Xenopus tropicalis: one gene and its partner. The protein of the gene in region 1 binds, or shares a complex with, the protein of each later gene. Links are inferred from orthologs where the notes say so. Each region holds a gene or a part of one and is shown on either strand. Other genes may lie near its edges. The genes, in order: cacnb1 and cacng1.

Region 1 (7,532 bases):
GAAAACAGTAGTCATTATCTACTAACTGTAGATATTAGTATCACAATAGCCTTGGATACTATGCTTGTTCAAGAACTCATCCAGGCCCCTCTTATAGGCATTAAGAGAATCTGCAGTAGTGGGTGCCTTTTCCTGTGTGGTTCCTCAGATCACTTATGTTGTATCTGGACAGTCGTATTGGGATTCCTTGTGCTGTTTATGGCCCATCAGGGATCAGTGTAAACAAATATTGAATGATGACAGCACAATCGCCATGGTTTTTTTGTCCACAATGTAAAAGGGGAAACACAGTGGTCATTTCTGGTGTTCAGAATGCAAGTAGCGTCTGCACCCAATTCTTTAGGCACAAGTGTGCTTTGGCTATTTGCACTTGGCGCAAAGGGGCCACGTCCTGGGCATAAGGTTCCCCTGTGTGAATAGGTGCAGCATCATTTAGATTGGAACACAGGAAGGTCTGAGCGACGCAGAGCGCAACTGTTCAGAAGTGCAAGGAGCGTGTTTTGACACAAGTTCTAATGGCGTTCACTACCTCAAAGCTGCCAAATGCATTTACAAGTGAAAAAGATGAACAATGTTTTCATAAAGAAACTCACCACAGAATGCACAGATCTGGGCCTGACCTCTAATTCAGAAAACTGTTGCATTTTCAAAACACTCATAAAGCTTCTTAAACACATTAGAGTTGGCCTTGGTAAGATAAGATAAGATATAGTCAGGTTTTGTTTGGAGGAGTTATAAGATCACAAAAGCAGTGGCTCTCAAAGTATGGAGTACTCACAAGAGGGGTTGGGCTTGAGGGTTAGTTCAAATGAGGTTTGGGGAGCATGAATATTTGGTCTCATAGGTATATCTATGATCGGTTAGGTTGAGATTAGAGGTAAAACCAGTGTCAGATACCAATGGGTCCAATCAGGACCGTTGCCCCATTGATAAAAGGGAGCCCAACATAGAAAGAGGGATGAGGCATGGGCAGGTCAGGGATGGGACCTTGGGTGGGGGGGGGGGGGGTGTTGAGGCTAATATAAAACTGATTTTCTCTATCTGTAATTGCGAGCTAAGGGGAACCCTAAATAAACCCCCATATGTAATAAAAGGCATAACGCTTGCCCAGGTACAGTAAATCATAGCAACCAATAAGATATTTGCTTTTAAATAGGTGCAGTCGTAGTACTTACTAATTGGTTGCTATGGGTTACTAGGTCAGTGGCAAACTTTGCACATTTTGTTAAACATTTGACTGCCAAGGGGGGCTTGAACACTACAAAATTTTAGTGGTATACCCACTGTATTTTACACATGGCACTATTTACCCTGGTTGGCCATGATGTATGATTTACAGAATTCTTTAAAAGGCTACAGGTTAGAGAGCACTAATATAAAGCCAATGGCCTACAGCATTTTGTCCACTTTCACACACACTGAGCTTAGAGTAACTGTTCAGGATTGCAGTAGTCAAAATGCCACACCTGGCACCACACCACACCTAACAGCAGCTATCAGCCTTACTAACCCAAGGGTCCTGAGTTTGATTCCAAGTAGGGTCTCCCTGAGTTTTCTTTAAGTATTCCTGTGTCCTCAGCCACTCCAAATACATACAGGCAGGTTTGTTGGCTCCTAATGAAACTAACTCTAGTGCATGTGTGCTAGGGACCTTAGATTGTAAGCTCTTCTGGGAAATGAGGATCAGTGTCTTTAAAACATTGTAAACATATATACACTACAATGGCAACCTATTTCTAAAGAAGATGAAATCTGTGGGAGGGATAATAAAGGGTATGTTCAATTTTAAATTCATTGTTAGTATGATGTAGGGCAGCGATCCCCAACCAGTGATTCGGGGGCAACATGTTACTCACCAACCCCTTGGATGTTGCTCTCAGTGCCCCAAAACCAGGGAGTTATTTTTGAATTCCTGACTTGGGGGCAAGTTTTGGTTGAATAAAAACAAGATTTCCTACCAAATAAAGCCCCTGTAAGCTGATAGTGTTCATAGAGGCTGCCTAATAGCCAATCACAGCCCTTATTTGGCACCTCCATGAACTTTTCTGATGCCTGTGTTGCTCTCCAAGTCTTTTTACGTTTGACTGTGGCTCACAAGTAAGAAAGGTTGGGGAGCCCTGATGTAGAGAGTGCTATTTTGAGATAAATTGCAATTTGGTCTTGTTTTGATTTATTTAGCTTTTTTGATCAGCAACTCTCCAATTTGGAATTTCAGGAGCTATTGGGTTCTATGGTCAAATTTAACCTAGCAACCAGGCAGTGGTTTGAAAGTGAGACAGGAATATAAATAGAGGAGTGCCTAAATAGAAATATAAGTAATAAAAAGTAACAATAAAAATGTAGCCTCACAGAGCAATTGTTTTTTTCTACTACCAGGGGCAGTGACGCCCCATTTAAAATAGTTGGAAAGAGTCAAAAGAGAATAATTCAAAATAAAAATGAAGACCAATTAAAAAGTTCCTAAGACTAGGCCATTTTCTAACATACTAAAAGTTAACTTGAATGTGAACCACTGCTTTAAGCTTCTTTACGTTTTCTCTGCTATCCTTTTGGGTCCTACAAATAGCAGACCTTAACAATGATAATCCTCTCTCTTTATGCACACAGCAAGTAACAAGCAAACCTCCTGGCTTTTTATATTCTTTTTATAATAATACCCTGTGCTGTGTATGGAGATGCTCCGTAGGCATATAGGTACGAGTGCTGATGTGGAAACTTATTGCATTAGTGCCGATCAGTCAGTGCTGTAGCCTGTTTGTGTGCTAGGATGCATCAGGGAGATCTGCTGTGGGTAGTGTTGCTAGGAAGAAGTCAGTTGTCTGCCATCATTGTTCCTACCTCCTGCTGCCCCCTCCTTTCCCATCTCTTCCAGCTATCTGCCTGCCTGCCCCCCTCTCTCTCTCACTCTCTCCAATGCACTGCTCTCTTCTCATCTTATACCCTCTAGATTCCCGTGCCATGTTCCTTTTCTATGTTCTCCCCTGGCACATATGGTACTGAGCCTGACTCCCAGTCCGTTAAATCACCTCTTGTGTCTCTGACTTGCTCCACCTCTTTACTCCTCACTCTCCTCCTCTCTGTACCTCTCCCATCCTCCTGTCTCTCTCCATCCCTTTCCCTGCCCCTTGCCTCCTGTCTCTCTTCTCCCCTCCCCAGTTCTGCCCTTCTCCCCCTCCTTATTTCCTCCTCTCTCTCCTGGCTCCCTTGCAGTCCTGGATCTGGATGTCATGAGTGCAGTGTGATTTGGGGAATATGTGGGGGGAGACACACCAATGGTCCAGCAGAACAGGATGGCCAGGACCCCGTCCAGCTCCACACAGGAGATCCAGATGGATGTGTTAGAGGGGCACAGCCTACAGGTGAGACATATACATGGGGGGGGGGTGCATACATTGATGGCTGGCTATGCTAATACACAGAGAGATTATTATTATATTTGTGATAATTGAAAGATCAGGCTATATGTATCTGTATAATAAAACAGTCCAATATAGATAGATAGATAGATAGATAGATAGACACACACAGGACCTGTATAGGTTGAGAACATAGACACAAATGGAGGCGCGAGGGAGAAAGCTGCAGGTTAACTGTGACACAGAGACAGACTTGCAGTGAAAGGGAGACAGTCACAAAGGATAGTGAGAGTGTCGAGAGGCACAGCTGCATGGAAAAGAAAGACAGAGAGAGCTATAGGGGAATAAGATGGGAAATAGAAGGCTAGATGGGCAGGAAGCGGCAGGGGCAAATGCAAAAGGAAACAGCTGGTTGGGAGCAGGGAAACACAGCCCGGGGTGCAAGTTACTAATATGTAGCCTTTATGTCTAGCAATCACTGTGCCTCGGGTCTGCCCATTCCATCTTCCCAGTCATGGATACAGGGGGTATCTGCTGGATATTCCTATTGTTTCCTCCACACTTAAACTAAGTACCACATAGAAATGGCAGAAATCTCTATGAGGTTATTTAAGTTAATGGTGTGTAACACAGGGGCATTGCTAATGGTTCAGGGCCACCTCTATACCACACCCAAACATCTATGTCCACAAAGACTTTTAATTCTACCTCTTCACCCAGGTAATTCTATGCCTGCACAGACTGTCACTTCATATCACCCTGTGTTTTGCTTCTGAGGAGAAAAAAGATTTATTTCTCTGGGGTTAGGGGTCCCCTCAGTGCCCCATGACCGGGTTACAGCCCCTGTAGCTGCGCCCCTCATGTAGAGGGAAATAAGGAATTATAAGGGGAACAATTGTTACAGGGAGGGATTACACGGTGCAGTAAGATGTGTATGTACCTGACGTAGGAAATTGCTTTGTGGGTCAGAAGGGTAAAGTTATAGGACGTATAATAATAGAAAACATATGTTGACTGTTCTATTCTCCTTTATGCCTCCCTTTTCTTTTTTCTGTTCCCCCCATTCCTAACCCCTCCCTTCACTTCTTTATTTCCCAGGCCAAATATGCCAAGAGGAAAAGTCGTTTTAAGCGTTCAGATGGCAGCACCAGCTCTGATACCACCTCCAACAGCTTTGTGAGGCAGGTGAGAGTCATGCTCAGTGCTGTTCTGTGCTACAGGCCTGGCGTGTGTGTGTGTGTGAGGAAGAGCACACAGGCCTCGTTAGGCCCCGGTCCTGGTTACCGTGGCAACCAGAGCCAGGGAAGAGATGCTCCTACGTCAGGAAATGGAAATGACAAACGCTAATTAACTGCCTGCAAGGGAGGGAGATTGGAGAGTGCAAAGAATGAGAGAGAAGATAGATAAAAGGGGGGGGGGGTTGAGGCAAGAAAGAGGAGAGTGAATACAAGTTGGAAAAAAAACAAAGACGGTGTTACAGCTTCTTCCATGTATATTTATAGCACATACATGACATGATATACACGTATGTCAGGCTGCTCTATATGACTGTGCTGGTGCCTTACTGAATGGTATTGTATGTGTTCAGACCTGGACTGTGATTCAAAATAGGCCCTGGCATTTCAAGTACACTGAGGCCGAAACAGCCCCCCAGCAGCCCAATAAATAGTGACTGTCTGTGGCATCTTACAGCAGCCCCTCTGGCATTTGCCTGAACCCACAGATTGCCAGTCTGGGCCTGTATGTGTTAGGGTAACTTCTGTAATGAGTGCCAGCAGCCCAAGCCTTAAGGGAAAAAATGATACCAGACACAGGCATGTGTACATATGGAAGTATATTTATTATTTTATACATGGGTTGTCACACCTGCTGCTTGCACACCAAATATTTTACGGTGTAGTAGTGTGTTTGTGTGAGAGAGCAAAATGTTGTACTGTATGTATATCTTATTTTGTGGGCACAGGGGTAGGTTACCATTACTGCTGATTTTCCATATATCACTGTGTAAGGTTTTGTACCCAGGAAGTTGTACAGTGTACATATGTCATGGTGTAGAAGTGTGTTTCATAACAAGGTTATACTTCCAGTCGGATATTCTGTGCTTATCAAATAGTTGGGTGCAAGCCCGGACTGGGAGTTAAACAGGCCCTGGCATTTCAGGTACAATGAGGCTCAAACAGCCCCCCAGCAGCCCAATAAATAGTGACTGTCTATGGCATCTTACAGCAGCCTCTCTGGCATTTGCCAGAACCCACAGTCTGGGCCTGGTTGTGAGTACATTGTATAGAGGATATCACTGCCATTGACTGGATGTGGGTGCATGGTGCACAATTTTGCTACTGCTGCTGTTTGTGATATATGTGTAGTCTAATAGTGAGTAGGAGAGACTGTCACCAATGTGTTTGGGCTATACATACTACATAGGGCAGGAAGGTGCTATGTGCTGCTTCTATTGTTGCAGCAATATGTGACTTGGGGGCAGTGTTGATGAGTGTGTGTATGGACGGATGGGGTGTCTTTAGTGGTGATGGGGCCCATGGAAAAACAGAGTCCCCAGGCTTTGCAGAGCCTCTGCAGTCAGACTAATTGCACCCCCAGATAGAGCTCTAGATAATTCTGCTGCTGGTTGACATGTGTGGATATTATGGTGTATGTGGCAGAGTGGCAGAGTGGCAGAAGGTTGAACAAAAATAACTTCTCTTGCCGAGTGAAATAATGGTGCTTCTATGTCTGACAACTGCTGAATCCAAATGTAACTGGTTGGTCAGGAAATCTGCAATGTAAACTGTATAGGGCTGCTGTGTGAGGGAAGTGGTACAGCAGCCCAGAATGGCAGCACCCACTCACAATTGACAACACGGTGTCATGATGGTGAAAATGATCCAGTCCTGGATTTTTCTCAGCCAAAATTCCTAATCCCACTAAATAGTAACATAAAATAAGGTCTCAAAAGTTAGTATGGTTATCATGCAGCTGCAGGTATATGTTGCCGATATTGCATGGTTCCATAAGGTGTGTGCATAGAGGTGACAGCTATCCCCGCTGCTAGTGTTACCTTGTTAATACATCATGATTTCCATGTAGAGCACTACTATTGATTGTGTTATCATATACAATGGTGTAGAAGTGTGTTGGTGGAAGGAAGGTTGCTGTGGGGTGGGGGAGAGGTGATCACTGCTTCTAGTTGGGCTGTGTACATACATCAAGGTTTTGTGGTGGGGGAGGGGGGTAGTAGTCACAGCTGGTAGAATGTATTCATATATCATGGTGCACTAGTGTGTGTGTGGGGGTTAGAAGGCTGTCACACAGTCCCAGCTGTTGTGTGTGTAGTGTGTGTGGGGGGGTCTGCCATTGCTTCCGCTTCTGTACATATGCTATGTGGGGTATACATATATATAATGGTGTTTGGGTGTGTATGATAGGTAGTTTGTGTTTTGTGAGTTTGTGAAATGTGAGGAGTTGGTTACTTCTTGATTGGACTGCACACATATATCCTGGTCTGGTATGTGGCTTTGTTTGTTTCACCCAGGCCCAGACTGGCAATCTGTGGGTTCTGGCAAATGCCAGAGGGGCTGCTGTAAGATGCCATAGGCAGTCACTATTTATTGGGCTGGGGGGGCTGTTTGTGCCTCTGGGTACTGGGAATGCCAGGGGGGCTGTAAGGTGCCACAGACAGTCACTATTTATTGGGCTGCTGGGGGGCTGTTTGGGCCTCTGGGTACTGGGAATGCCAGGGGGGCTGTAAGGTGCCACAGGCAGTCACTATTTATTGGGCTGGGGGGCTGTTTGGGCCTCTGGGTACTGGGAATGCCAGGGCCTATTTTGTATCCCAGTCCAGAACTGATAATTCTCCACTATGAAGGAGGGAAGGATAGATACAGGCCCGGACTGGCAATCTGTGGGTTCTGGCAAATGCCAGAGGGGCTGCTGTAAGATGCCATAGACAGTCACTATTTATTGGGCTGGGGGGGGGCTGTTTGTGCCTCTGGGTACTGGGAATGCCAGGGGGGCTGTAAGGTGCCATAGGCAATCACTATTTATTGGGCTGCTGAGGGGCCAGAGAGGCAGCCCCTTTGCCAGAACCCACAGCTTGCCAGTCCCGGCCTGTCAGGACACATCATGCTACAAGTGCAGATCTGTAGCTGATACTAATAAGTTGCTATACATTTATGCCCA
Region 2 (7,255 bases), about 41 Mb from region 1:
CCAACAAACGAACTTGATCCCTCGGCCCCAGTGGGAGTAATCGGCTCTTTATTGGCTGCTACTATTTCCCAGTTGCTTCCCAGTATAGAGCTGGTGTTTATGGGAAGGACTGAGTGACTGTGGCCCCACACACAGATACCCCAGATCCCTAACAGCCCCTGCCCGGGGCAAAGATGGAGATAGTAGGGCAAGATGGAGACAGTAGGGCAAGAAGATGGGGACAGTAGGGCAAGATGGGGACAGTAGGGCAAGATGGGGACAGTAGGGCAAGATGGGGACAGTAGGGCAAGATGGGGACAGTAAGGCAAGATGGGGGCAGTAGGGCAAGATGGAGGCAGTAGGGCAAGATGGAGGCAGTAGGGCAAGATGGAGACAGTAGGGCAAGATGGGGACAGTAGGGCAAGATGGGGACAGTAGGGCAAGATGGAGACAGTAGGGCAAGATGGGGACAGTAGGGCAAGATGGGGACAGTAGGGCAAGATGGGGACAGTAGGGCAAGATGGGGACAGTAAGGCAAGATGGGGACAGTAGGGCAAGATGGAGACAGTAGGGCAAGATGGGGACAGTAGGGCAAGATGGAGACAGTAGGACAAGATGGGGACAGTAGGACAAGATGGGGACAGTAGGACAAGATGGAGACAGTAGGGCAAGATGGAGACAGTAGGGCAAGATGGAGACAGTAGGACAAGATGGGGACAGTAGGACAAGATGGGGACAGTAGGACAAGATGGAGACAGTAGGACAAGATGGGGACAGTAGGGCAAGATGGAGACAGTAGGACAAGATGGGGACAGTAGGACAAGATGGGGACAGTAGGACAAGATGGAGACAGTAGGGCAAGATGGGGACAGTAGGACAAGATGGGGACAGTAGGGCAAGATGGAGACAGTAGGGCAAGATGGGGACAGTAGGACAAGATGGGGACAGTAGGGCAAGATGGGGACAGTAGGGCAAGATGGAGACAGTAGGACAAGATGGGGACAGTAGGACAAGATGGGGACAGTAGGACAAGATGGAGACAGTAGGGCAAGATGGAGACAGTAGGGCAAGATGGAGACAGTAGGACAAGATGGGGACAGTAGGACAAGATGGAGACAGTAGGACAAGATGGGGACAGTAGGACAAGATGGAGACAGCAGGGCAAGATGGAGACAGTAGGGCAAGATGGGGACAGTAGGGCAAGATGGAGACAGTAGGACAAGATGGGGACAGTAGGACAAGATGGGGACAGTAGGACAAGATGGAGACAGTAGGGCAAGATGGAGACAGTAGGGCAAGATGGAGACAGTAGGACAAGATGGGGACAGTAGGACAAGATGGAGACAGTAGGGCAAGATGGGGACAGTAGGACAAGATGGGGACAGTAGGACAAGATGGGGACAGTAGGACAAGATGGGGACAGTAGGACAAGATGGAGACAGTAGGACAAGATGGGGACAGTAGGGCAAGATGGAGACAGTAGGACAAGATGGGGACAGTAGGACAAGATGGAGACAGTAGGGCAAGATGGAGACAGTAGGGCAAGATGGGGACAGTAGGGCAAGAGGGAGACAGTAGGACAAGATGGAGACAGTAGGGCAAGATGGGGACAGTAGGGCAAGATGGAGACAGTAGGGCAAGAGGGAGACAGTAGGGCAAGAGGGAGACAGTAGGGCAAGAGGGAGACAGTAGGGCAAGAGGGAGACAGTAGGGCAAGAACGCCAAGTAAAGTAACATGGCAGCCAATCCCCTGCCAAGAAAGACCCCCTTACACAGGGACCCACATACAATAAGGAATTGCCCCCCACAGAGTCACCCCACTCTCACACTCACCCTACAGCACAATCAATAACCAATTGGGATCAATACCGATAGACAGATACAAAGCTGAACGTGGGAGCAGTTTAACCATGTGAGTGCCACATGGCCAAGGGAATATGGTCAGGGGGGTGGAGCCAAATCTCTAATAATCGGTGCAGGGAATCCCATGGGAATAAGGTCAGGGGGGTGGAGCCAAATCTCTAACAATCAGGGTGCAGGGAATCCCCAGAACCCCAGAGATAACAGCAGTTGTTCCTATTGGCTGTCGATAGCTACAAGGCAAAGACCTGATGATAAAATAATCACTTGCATCAAGTTCAGTCCGACTGCCAAACTGGTACCTGGTTGCTAAGCACAGTTACCTTAGCAACCAGATGGCCGCGCAGAGTGATCTGACCCCCGTTGTGTTGCCCCCCCAGAGCACAGCTGCACCTACTTCAAGCATTTCACTTCAGGGGAGAACGCGGATATTTTCGAGGTGACGACGCAGAAAGGTGAGGGGCCCATTGTGACATCACTGTGCGTTTGTCTCCCCAATGTCCCTGCCCCCCCAACCCTCGTTACTCGTTGTGTATGTCCCAGAAGCCTCCACTCTGCCCTCTCACCCCCTGATCTTGCCCCCCCCCAGAGTACAGCATCTCGGCAGCCGCCATCGCCATCATCGGAGTGGGGTTCATGACTATGGGCACAGTGTGCACCCTGCTGTCCTTCAAGGAGAAGCTCGACTACCTGCTCAAACCCGCCGGCCTCTTCTTCATCTTTGCAGGTTTGTACCCCCAGTGCCCCTAGAAACCCCCATGTCTCTGCCACACTCAGGGGCAAATCAGGGAGGCAACAAATCCGCCAACATTGTAAGCCAACAAGGCAAGGGGGCTAGGGCACCCACTCATAGCAGCCTACAGGGGGAGGGGCAGGGAGTCTGTGACTCAAGCAGTGGGTGGGACTAGAGCCCTCTGATGGCAGCTTATAAGGGGGAGGGGCAGGGAGTCTGTGACTCAAGCAGTGGGTGGGACTAGCGCCCTCTGATGGCAGTTTATAGGGGGAGGGGCAGGGAGTCTGTGACACAAGCAGTGGGTGGGACTAGCGCCCTCTGATGGCAGTTTATAGGGGGAGGGGCAGGGAGTCTGTGACCCAAGCAGTGGGTGGGACTAGAGCCCTCTGATGACAGTTTATAGGGGGAGGGGCAGGGAGTCTGTGACACAAGCAGTGGGTGGGACTAGAGCCCTCTGATGGCAGTTTATAGGGGGAGGGGCAGGGAGTCTGTGACCCAAGCAGTGGGTGGGACTAGAGCCCTCTGATGACAGTTTATAGGGGGAGGGGCAGGGAGTCTGTGACCCAAGCAGTGGGTGGGACTAGAGCCCTCTGATGACAGTTTATAGGGGGAGGGGCAGGGAGTCTGTGACCCAAGCAGTGGGTGGGACTAGAGCCCTCTGATGACAGTTTATAGGGGGAGGGGCAGGGAGTCTGTGACCCAAGCAGTGGGTGGGACTAGAGCCCTCTGATGACAGTTTATAGGGGGAGGGGCAGGGAGTCTGTGACCCAAGCAGTGGGTGGGACTAGAGCCCTCTGATGGCAGTTTATAGGGGGAGGGGCAGGGAGTCTGTGACACAAGCAGTGGGTGGGACTAGCGCCCTCTGATGGCAGTTTATAGGGGGAGGGGCAGGGAGTCTGTGACTCAAGCAGTGGGTGGGACTAGAGCCCTCTGATGGCAGTTTATAGGGGGAGGGGCAGGGAGTCTGTGACCCAAGCAGTGGGTGGGACTAGAGCCCTCTGATGACAGTTTATAGGGGGAGGGGCAGGGAGTCTGTGACCCAAGCAGTGGGTGGGACTAGCGCCCTCTGATGGCAGTTTATAGGGGGAGGGGCAGGGAGTCTGTGACACAAGCAGTGGGTGGGACTAGAGCCCTCTGATGACAGTTTATAGGGGGAGGGGCAGGGAGTCTGTGACCCAAGCAGTGGGTGGGACTAGAACTCTATGATGGCAGCTCACAGGGGGAGGGGTTTGTGCTCAGCCAATGCAATACATCCAGTTAAACAGCTGAATTCCCATCTAAGAAACATTAGATTAACCCCCGGCTTGCCGTTGCAGGGCTGTGCATGATTATCTCGGCGGAAGTGATCAGACAGTCGGTGCACCGGATGATAGACAGTAAGGAGACGGTCTGGATCGAGTATTATTATTCGTGGTCCTTCGCCTGCGCCTGCGCCGCCTTCGTGCTGCTGTTCGTGTGCGGCGTCGCCCTGGTGCTCATCTCCCTGCCGCGCATGCCCAGGAACCCCTGGGAGACCTGTATGGACGCGGAGCCCGACATGTGAGGGGAGATTCCGGGGGGTCACGGACCGGAGATGGACCCCCGACATTCACTGACTGAACTCAATGGGCGAGTGAGGGCAGAGGGGGTGGCGCACCCCAATATCTCGCTTCTTTCCTGTATAGTGTAAGCTCCTCCCCAAGGCTTGGCCAATGGCGTAACCAGGAATTACTGGGCCCCACAGCAAATTCATTTTGGGCCCCCACCCCCTGTATGGAACCCCTCTGGGTGTGTAACTAGTGGGAGGGGGATTTGGGGGCCCCCACCCCCTGTATGGAACCCCTCTGGGTAACTAGTGGGAGGGGGATTTGGGGGACCACACCCCCTGTATGGAACCCCTCTGGGTAACTAGTGGGAGGGGGATTTGGGGGACCCCACCCCCTGTATGGAACCCCTCTGGGTAACTAGTGGGAGGGGGATTTGGGGGACCCCACCCCCTGTATGGAACCCCTCTGGGTAACTAGTGGGAGGGGGATTTGGGGGACCCCACCCCCTGTATGGAACCCCTCTGGGTAACTAGTGGGAGGGGGATTTGGGGGCAGCCCCCCTACAGCAGCTGGGATTCTCTCCCTGCCCCCAGCACCTTTATTTACTGGATTATTTCACTGGCTTTAAATAGCGTCCCCCGGCCTGTGCCCCCCCCCCCATTACAGGAATAGACACCGACCCATAGGGAGACTGAGGGACTCACAGGGCGTCGTTACAGCTGCAGAGTCGGGGGGCTCAGGGGGTGGGAAGATATGAGAAATAATGTGTGACTTTGGCCTTTGTGGTGTTTATCTAATCACTGAATGTCTTTAAATTTCAAGGGTAAATAGAACCAAGTTTTACTTTATCATCTGTGCATTTGCCTATTTCTATGGAAAGGGAGCTGCCATAGTGCCCAAGGGTGCCAGGAGCTGCCATAGTGCCCAAGGGTGCCAGGAGCTGCCATAGTGCCCAAGGGTGCCAGGAGCTGCCATAGTGCCCAGTCCTCCTGGAAATCATCTCTGGGGTGGGGGCTGAATGGCATCTCTGATTGGCCAAGCGACATACCTTCTCCATATGTGACTGCAATGACAGCACCAGGTACACCAACTGTATCATAAAAATACACCTACAGGGGGCACCGGGGGTTCTACAATTACAGTAATACACCTACAGGGGGCACCGGGGGTTCTACAATTACAGTAATACACCTACAGGGGGCACCGGGGGTTCTACAATTACAGTAATACACCTACAGGGGGCACCGGGGGTTCTACAATTACAGTAATACACCTACAGGGGGCACCGGGGGTTCTACAATTACAGTAATACACCTACAGGGGGCACCGGGGGTTCTACAATTACAGTAATACACCTACAGGGGGCACCGGGGGTTCTACAATTACAGTAATACACCTACAGGGGGCACCGGGGGTTCTACAATTACAGTAATACACCTACAGGGGGCACCGGGGGTTCTACAATTACAGTAATACACCTACAGGGGGCACGGGGGTTCTACAATTACAGTAATACACCTACAGGGGGCACCGGGGGTTCTACAATTACAGTAATACACCTACAGGGGGCACCGGGGGTTCTACAATTACAGTAATACACCTACAGGGGGCACGGGGGTTCTACAATTACAGTAATACACCTACAGGGGGCACCGGGGGTTCTACAATTACAGTAATACACCTACAGGGGGCGCCAGCGGTTATAGTTACACTATTGCTACCAGCGGTTACCAGAAGGACTATAAATACATTACCCCTGAAGGGGCACCAGCAGTTATACAATCAGAGTATTGCCCCACATGGGGCACCAGGAGTTATACAATCAGAGTATTGCCCCACATGGGGCACCAGGAGTTATACAACCAGAGTATTGCCCCAGGGGGGCACCAGCAGTTATACAACCAGAGCATTGCCCCAGGGGGGCACCAGGAGTTATACAACCAGAGTATTGCCCCAGGGGGGCACCAGCAGTTATACAATCAGAGTATTGCCCCACATGGGGCACCAGGAGTTATACAACCAGAGTATTGCCCCAGGGGGGCACCAGCAGTTATACAATCAGAGTATTGCCCCACATGGGGCACCAGGAGTTATACAACCAGAGTATTGCCCCAGGGGGGCACCAGCAGTTATACAACCAGAGTATTGCCCCAGGGGGGCACCAGGAGTTATACAACCAGAGTATTGCCTCAGGGGGGCACCAGGAGTTATACAACCAGAGTATTGCCCCAGGGGGGCACCAGCAGTTATACAATCAGAGTATTGCCCCACATGGGGCACCAGGAGTTATACAACCAGAGTATTGCCCCAGGGGGGCACCAGCAGTTATACAACCAGAGTATTGCCCCAGGGGGGCACCAGGAGTTATACAACCAGAGTATTGCCCCACATGGGGCACCAGGAGTTATACAACCAGAGTATTGCCCCAGGGGGGCACCAGCAGTTATACAATCAGAGTATTGCCCCACATGGGGCACCAGGAGTTATACAACCAGAGTATTGCCCCAGGGGGGCACCAGGAGTTATACAACCAGAGTATTGCCTCAGGGGGGCACCAGCAGTTATACAATCAGAGTATTGCCCCAGGGGGGCACCAGGAGTTATACAACCAGAGTATTGCCCCAGGGGGGCACCAGCAGTTATACAACCAGAGTATTGCCCCAGGGGGGCACCAGCAGTTATACAACCAGAGTATTGCCCCAGGGGGGCACCAGCAGTTATACAATTACAGTATTGCCTATTGCCCCTGTAGGGGGCAGAAGTAGAAAAGAGACGGTACCTGCACTTTGCCTCTGCGCTTCTGACGGGGGGGGCGGGGGCAGGTTGGTGGGGGGGGGGGGTCAGTCGTTGCCGAGTAACTGCCCCTGGTGCAACTTTGTATCTGCCCCACCTTCCCCTCTGGCCCTTCTCTCTCACCCCTGCACAGGGCAATTTCCAGGGGCACCACAGTTATCTAATGGTTTAGCCCTTTAGCCCCGGGGGTGGGACTCACGTTCCGGCGTTGGAGAGATTTGCCCCCCACTGATTAATCTCACCTGGCGGGGGGCGGGGCCTGACTCACCTTTCCCTCACCTTTAACCCTTCCAATGCTTAAACTCCCACTGGCGTTACCTCTATGTGAGGAGAAAAGCAGCACTAAGAGAAGGTAGGTGGGTAC

Evidence for each region.
Region 2: cacnb1 (region 1) and cacng1 share a complex: the UniProt entries of both Homo sapiens proteins name them as parts of the calcium channel complex. The link is inferred for Xenopus tropicalis from reciprocal best matches to the Homo sapiens genes CACNB1 and CACNG1.

Annotation. Positions count from the first base shown.
Region 1 is NC_030686.2:10,379,692-10,387,223, forward strand, and holds the start of cacnb1 (voltage-dependent L-type calcium channel subunit beta-1), read left to right. Parts: upstream 1-3,238; 5' UTR 3,239-3,272; coding exon 3,273-3,359; intron 3,360-4,454; coding exon 4,455-4,541; intron 4,542-7,532. UniProt on the Homo sapiens protein: Regulatory subunit of L-type calcium channels. Regulates the activity of L-type calcium channels that contain CACNA1A as pore-forming subunit.
Region 2 is NC_030686.2:51,106,742-51,113,996, forward strand, and holds the end of cacng1 (voltage-dependent calcium channel gamma-1 subunit), read left to right. Parts: intron 1-2,219; coding exon 2,220-2,294; intron 2,295-2,428; coding exon 2,429-2,566; intron 2,567-3,888; coding exon 3,889-4,115; 3' UTR 4,116-4,946; downstream 4,947-7,255. UniProt on the Homo sapiens protein: Regulatory subunit of the voltage-gated calcium channel that gives rise to L-type calcium currents in skeletal muscle. Regulates channel inactivation kinetics.